2 linked regions of the Xenopus tropicalis genome follow. The protein of the gene in region 2 binds, or shares a complex with, the protein of the main gene of each other region. Links are inferred from orthologs where the notes say so. Each region holds a gene or a part of one and is shown on either strand. Other genes may lie near its edges.

Evidence for each region. The genes of interacting proteins can lie anywhere in the genome.
Region 1: regulator of G-protein signaling 9 (region 2) and rgs9bp share a complex: the UniProt entries of both Homo sapiens proteins name them as parts of the RGS9-1-Gbeta5 complex. The link is inferred for Xenopus tropicalis from reciprocal best matches to the Homo sapiens genes RGS9 and RGS9BP.

The regions. Positions count from the first base shown.
Region 1 is NC_030680.2:69,372,592-69,376,343, reverse strand, and holds the start of rgs9bp (regulator of G-protein signaling 9-binding protein), read left to right. Parts: upstream 1-960; 5' UTR 961-1,691; coding exon 1,692-2,402; 3' UTR 2,403-3,752. UniProt on the Homo sapiens protein: Regulator of G protein-coupled receptor (GPCR) signaling in phototransduction. Participates in the recovery phase of visual transduction via its interaction with RGS9-1 isoform.
Region 2 is NC_030686.2:50,719,607-50,723,258, reverse strand, and holds part of regulator of G-protein signaling 9, read right to left. Parts: intron 2,266-3,652; coding exon 2,150-2,265; intron 180-2,149; coding exon 92-179; intron 1-91. UniProt on the Homo sapiens protein: Inhibits signal transduction by increasing the GTPase activity of G protein alpha subunits thereby driving them into their inactive GDP-bound form. Binds to GNAT1. Involved in phototransduction; key element in the recovery phase of visual transduction.

The DNA.
Region 1 (3,752 bases), on a different chromosome or scaffold from region 2:
AAGGCCAATGAACTTTTAAAAGAAGAGGCCTGGGATAGTAGGTCACAACCTAAAGTCTTGCTAACTGGAACACTCTGTGATTTTCAGTTTCCTTCTCCTTTAAATCCAAGTTTCATAATTTGATAGTAACACCAACAAAATGCTGTCAGTGACACCAGAAAATGTACACCAATTTCAAATTGTGGAAAGCTGTTCTGACCGATCTGGGTAATTGTTAAACAATACTTCAGATTCTTAAATCTGGCTTGTGGAAAGACAATTTGACACCAAAACATACAAACCCTTATTCATGGAACTAGAGTTAGGCTTTTGGGTGCCTGCCATTGCTTTTACACTTTTATTGCTGTTAAAGTGGACAGGTTTCTATTGCAATGTGCATTCATGTGGATATACTTTTCTTTTTCACAGAGACTAAAGCTTTGCTGTTGTTACAGTAAATCCCTTTTCACAATGCTATATGTAAACAGTAAAGGGCGACTGCAAAGGTTACCGACATACAGCCTGAGATTGCTGGAAGTCATACTAAACTAATATCTCAATAGATGCCGGGTGCAATACCTACTCTGTTTTAAGAAGCATACCACACAGACATGCTGTATACCACTCTACTTGCAAATCAGCTGCCCTTCGGTGCCTGGCCTAACAGTTTAATATATCAGGAGGATTTATGTAAATAGAAATATAGTTTGCTGCGCACAGCGTCTACTCACTTAGAACGATAAGCTCCTTATTTCTTGCCCAGTGCCCGAGAGCAGCTCCTCTCCACCCAGCTTCCTTAAGCATAGACCAGGGCTGCAAAGAAACAACACAGCTTTCAGCCAATGGGCACCCTTCCCTTTCCTACCGACGCTATCTACGGCCAATCGAAGTACAGCTAAGAGGTGGGTGTATTACAACCATAGCGTGCCAATTGCCGAGCTGTGGAAATCGTCACCTGAACTGCAAGACAGAGCGGCCATTTTATGTGCTGGAAAGAAAATATTAATGTAACGCGCTGTCTGTATTTAAGCCGTTGTCGAACTGTGATTTGTAAGCATTCCTGGTTTATTTTAGACTGGCTGTTGTTAAGTTAATTTGCATTAGAACAAGCTGTATAACATTCTTCTCTACCACTTTGATAATATTATCGAACTTGCCCTTATTAATGATGTCAGTGTACACCGGCCAAATACCTCACTGATATAACAAGCCTTTGAGGTTTGCTCACGTGACTCGTGTAGATGATGGGCAGAATGAGCTGCACAGGGAGAGCAGGAGGACGCGTTCGGACAGCTCCCTGCTGGAATTCACAGCGCTGTTGTGGAAGAGCAGTTTACAATATCTTTAAACTGTCGCTACAATAGCAGTTTTTTCAACTTTTATCCAGCATTAATACGCCTGCTAAGGAAATTTTCAACTGCTTGATATGGATTTCACTTACACTATGCACAGGTTGTGCAGATAATTCCTGATTGGTTGACAGCTTGTTATAGCCTCAGGATTGGAGTCCACTGATTATTTTATTTTGCACCCTGGTACCATGGAGGAGCCGGAGTAGGACAAACACAGTTCTCTATTATCGATGATAAATGAAACGAAATGTGGAACTGCAGCTAATTGCTGGTCTGCATATCCTGAACTAGGGTTAAAAAAAGTATCATTATTGGCAGTATTTGGGGTTTTAAGGGGTTTTGGAAGAAAGCAAGCTGGAGATGCTGAAGGAGGAATGCAAGGCACTGCTGGATGCTCTGAACAAGGTAACTGCATGCTACAGGCATCTGGTGCTCACCATAGGTGGCACATCAGACTCACAAAACCTTCGGGAAGAATTGAAGAAGACCAGGCAGAAAGCACAAGAACTAGCTGTGGCCAACAGAAACAAACTTACCAGCACTCTCAAAGACCATAGATTAACCAAAGAAGACAAGGCTGAATTTGAGAGGCTATGGGTTATTTTCACTACCTGCATGGACATTCTGGAAACAGATATGAGGCGAGCTCTGGTGCTAGGTCAGGAATTTCCTCTTAACATCCCCAAGAAACACCTTATTCAGACTGGCATGAGTGGTGGAACCTCTGGTGTGGCTGCCAGGGCTATGAGTGTGCAGAACATGAGATATGATGCTGAGCACAATATAGATGTGATGGACCTCAAGGACCTAGAGGATGAGATCAATCTTATGGATGAAATGATGTATGAAATGGAAATGAAGGTCAATGTACCTCAGTGGACTGTGGAAGCTAAACAGGATCCAGGAGCTGAACTTAAATCCACTATGAGTGCTGGGGCTTCTCCTGGGATTATTTCCCTGGATGATCATAAATCTATATGTGACCTCAACAAAGTTTTAGCTGGGGTGGTTTTCAGTGCAGTTCTTATTATTGCTATAATACTGGCAGTTTGTGTAGTAAAACTCTCTTAATGAGAATATTTATGCTGCTAACTATGTTTAATAATTTTTGGGTTTGGTGCAGATCATAATTCTTCCTTTTTAATTAAACTATCTGCTTCCTAGGCAGAAATCATGCGTCTATTTTGATGGATTTTGGGGTATATTTTTATTTGATTTATGTTTTATGCAAAGGTTTTCTGCAGATCGATTACAAATGTTCTTTTCTTGTATAATATTGGCATAAAAATATGCCTTATTCATTCACTCCACTGGGTTATTTTAAACTTAGCAATTTCTGCCTGCAGCATATTGCACATTGTATTGGTGCAAAATTTGTATATGCTTGTCTCTTTTTATACTGGCAATGCAGTATGATTAGTGCTACCTCACTTTTATGACAAGTTTTCAGTATTAACAAAGAAGCAGAGTTTTGCATTTGGTGGCAAAGATACAAAATGATGCATTCAGCACATAGTACATCAAACATGTGAAAGAATTGAAGCTTGCAGGATTCAGTCATATAATACCCTCTGCCAACACACATTTATTAGTTTTAAACATATCTGTAAAGTACTGATTTTGAACATTTTGATGCCAGAGGTAGTGCAAGGCACTGGTTAGCAGTTTGTTGGTTGCTGCTTCTAACATTCTAAAGGCTGATGAAAAAGAAGAAAAGCACACGCTGTCTGACTTTATTAGTGGCAGTAATGTGATTATCAATATTCCAATTCTATCTACTATGGCACTTTGATTAATACATTGTTTTTGACTGAAGTTCAGTTCAAAAGTCAGATTAACCATTGTAGGTTTTATAGCCTGTCTGCATTCATTCTTCCTTGAAGTCTTCCTATAAGCATGCCCCACTTATTATTCATAATAGTCTTATATGAATAGGCTTAGAGCAGCAGTTGTGCAGACCTTTGTTGCCATGCTGAACAGCTTCAGGGCTACACACTACACACAGGCTTTTTTTGTGTGTTCTAAAGCGCATTTGAGACAGAGATTTGTACACTTACTGATTCTGTTTTATTCTGCCTGATTATGCCTAAGATTCATGTCTGTGTTGTAGAAAACTATTTTTTAAATAATATGCTGCATTTTATGTATTGGAACACTTTCATAATATATTTAAAATAGAGAAATGCTTGCTGAACATAACACATATACGTGGATTTTAGTAGCTTGCATTTCATTTAAACACCATTGTATAAGTGCCCTTAAGCATTTCAGTAAGGGGCCATATCATCAAAGGTTTCTGTTTGCATTGGCGTAATTAATTTCCTGTTCATTTGAGTATTATATATATTAAAAGAATAAAAGCATATCAGGTCTCCAATCTAATCTCTGATTTTCAGCATTGGTATGGACATCTCCCTGTCT
Region 2 (3,652 bases):
AGGGTCCCATTCGCCCCAGTAACCAGGCCAAGGACAGACTGTAAGTGAAAAGGAAGAAAGGGGAAGCTAAACCAAACTAGAAGGCGCTTACTTGTAGATCTCCTCCGCCTTCTCCTTCACCTTCGACTGGTCTCCGTACTTCAGGTCTTCACAGGCCTCCCAGAAACTCATGTTCTCCCCTAGGGCACAGAATGGGCAGGTTATGGGCACGGCTGGCGTTAGGGCACAGAATGGGCAGGTTACGGGCACGGCTGGCGTTAGGGCACAGAATGGGCAGGTTACGGCTGGCGTTAGGGCACAGAATGGGCAGGTTACGGCTGGCGTTAGGGCACAGAATGGGCAGGTTACGGCTGGCGTTAGGGCACAGAATGGGCAGGTTACGGCTGGCGTTAGGGCACAGAATGGGCAGGTTACGGGCGCGGCTGGCGTTAGGGCACAGAATGGGCAGGTTACGGGCGCGGCTGGCGTTAGGGCACAGAATGGGCAGGTTACGGGCACGGCTGGCGTTAGGGCACAGAATGGGCAGGTTACGGGCACGGCTGGCGTTAGGGCACAGAATGGGCAGGTTACGGGCACGGCTGGTGTTAGGGCACAGAATGGGCAGGTTACGGGCACGGCTGGCGTTAGGGCACAGAATGGGCAGGTTACGGCTGGCGTTAGGGCACAGAATGGGCAGGTTACGGCTGGTGTTAGGGCACAGAATGGGCAGGTTACGGCTGGCGTTAGGGCACAGAATGGGCAGGTTACGGGCACGGATGGCGTTAGGGCACAGAATGGGCAGGTTACGGGCACGGCTGGCGTTAGGGCACAGAATGGGCAGGTTACGGGCGCGGCTGGCGTTAGGGCACAGAATGGGCAGGTTACGGGCACGGCTGGCGTTAGGGCACAGAATGGGCAGGTTACGGCTGGCGTTAGGGCACAGAATGGGCAGGTTACGGCTGGCGTTAGGGCACAGAATGGGCAGGTTACGGGCACGGATGGCGTTAGGGCACAGAATGGGCAGGTTACGGGCACGGCTGGCGTTAGGGCACAGAATGGGCAGGTTACGGGCGCGGCTGGCGTTAGGGCACAGAATGGGCAGGTTACGGGCACGGCTGGCGTTAGGGCACAGAATGGGCAGGTTACGGGCACGGCTGGCGTTAGGGCACAGAATGGGCAGGTTACGGGCACGGCTGGTGTTAGGGCACAGAATGGGCAGGTTACGGGCACGGCTGGCGTTAGGGCACAGAATGGGCAGGTTACGGCTGGTGTTAGGGCACAGAATGGGCAGGTTACGGCTGGCGTTAGGGCACAGAATGGGCAGGTTACGCGCACGGCTGGCGTTAGGGCACAGAATGGGCAGGTTACGCGCACGGCTGGCGTTAGGGCACAGAATGGGCAGGTTACGGGTACAGCTGGCGTTAGGGCACAGAATGGGTGGGTTACGGGAGCGGCTGGCGTTAGGGCACAGAATGGGCGGGTTACGGACGCGGCTGGCGTTAGGGCACAGAATGGGCAGGTTACGGGCACGGCTGGCATTAGGGCACAGAATGGGCGGGTTACGGTTGCGGCTGGCATTAGGGCACAGAATGGGCAGGTTACGGGCACGGCTGGCGTTAGGGCACAGAATGGGCAGGTTACGTGCACGGCTGGCATTAGGGCACAGAATGGGCGGGTTACGGGAGCGGCTGGCGTTAGGGTACAGAATGGGCAGGTTACGGGCACGGCTGGCGTTAGGGTACAGAATGGGCAGGTTACGGGCACGGCTGGCGTTAGGGCACAGAATGGGCAGGTTACGGGCACGGCTGGCGTTAGGGCACAGAATGGGCGGGTTATGGGCACGGCTGGCGTTAGGGCACAGAATGGGCAGGTTACGGGCACTAATAAACAGGGCCACTGTCGGAGGGAATCCAGTTGCCCTGTGGCAAGGGGGGCCTGGGAAACCAAGGAATGCAAAAGGCGGGACTTGCAGTGGAATGGGTGGGGCCTGGGCAGGCCTAGCATGTCGGCCATTTTTTTCACTACAGGCCCATTTTACTTGTTGGCCCGGCCCAATGCCCCAGGCTACATGTGACTGGTGGGCTACCAGATTGCACCAGGCTAAGCAGGATGGTGGCCCTGCTAATAAAGCAATATACCCCCCCCCCCCCCCGGGGGCATTTAGACTTACCGCTGAATTCCTTCTTGAGGAAAAGCTGAAAGCTCTGTCGACCCTTAGGGTCCCGGATCAGTTCACTGAAATTAAAGGCCCAGCGCTCCACCCGCAGCTTTGTAGGCAGCTCCACCCTGAAAGAGATCCAGATACAGATCTGAGTGTGCTCTGTACCTGGGTAAGTACTGGGGGGAGATTGGATTCACTTACCCAGGGGGAGGTTCCTGCCTGACCATGGGAAAGAGAGCAGCCCAGGAGCAGGAAGTACAGAGAATCAGAGCTCTGTACCTGGGTAAGTACTGGGGGGAGATTGGATTCACTTACCCAGGGGGAGGTTCCTGCCTGACCATGGGAAAGAGAGCAGCCCAGGAGCAGGAAGTACAGAGAATCAGAGCTCTGTACCTGGGTAAGTACTGGGGGGAGATTGGATTCACTTACCCAGGGGGAGGTTCCTGTCTGACCATGGGAAAGAGAGCAGCCCAGGAGCAGGAAGTACAGAGAATCAGAGCTCTGTACCTGGGTAAGTACTGGGGGGAGATTGGATTCACTTACCCAGGGGGGGGTTCCTGCCTGACCATGGGAAAGAGAGCAGCCCAGGAGCAGGAAGTACAGAGAATCAGAGCTCTGTACCTGGGTAAGTACTGGGGGGAGATTGGATTCACTTACCCAGGGGGAGGTTCCTGCCTGACCATGGGAAAGAGAGCAGCCCAGGAGCAGGAAGTACAGAGAATCAGAGCTCTGTACCTGGGTAAGTACTGGGGGGAGATTGGATTCACTTACCCAGGGGAGGTTCCTGCCTGACCATGGGAAAGAGAGCAGCCCAGGAGCAGGAAGTACAGAGAATCAGAGCTCTGTACCTGGGTAAGTACTGGGGGGAGATTGGATTCACTTACCCAGGGGGAGGTTCCTGCCTGACCATGGGAAAGAGAGCAGCCCAGGAGCAGGAAGTACAGAGAATCAGAGCTCTGTACCTGGGTAAGTACTGGGGGGAGATTGGATTCACTTACCCAGGGGGCGGGTTCCTGTCTGACCATGGGAAAGAGAGCAGCCCAGGAGCAGGAAGTACAGAGAATCAGAGCTCTGTACCTGGGTAAGTACTGGGGGGAGATTGGATTCACTTACCCAGGGGGGGTTCCTGCCTGACCATGGGAAAGAGAGCAGCCCAGGAGCAGGAAGTACAGAGAATCAGAGCTCTGTACCTGGGTAAGTACTGGGGGGAGATTGGATTCACTTACCCAGGGGGAGGTTCCTGCCTGACCATGGGAAAGAGAGCAGCCCAGGAGCAGGAAGTACAGAGAATCAGAGCTCTGTACCTGGGTAAGTACTGGGGGGAGATTGGATTCACTTACCCAGGGGAGGTTCCTGCCTGACCATGGGAAAGAGAGCAGCCCAGGAGCAGGAAGTACAGAGAATCAGAGCTCTGTACCTGGGTAAGTACTGGGGGGAGATTGGATTCACTTACCCAGGGGAGGTTCCTGCCTGACCATGGGAAAGAGAGCAGCCCAGGAGCAGGAAGTACAG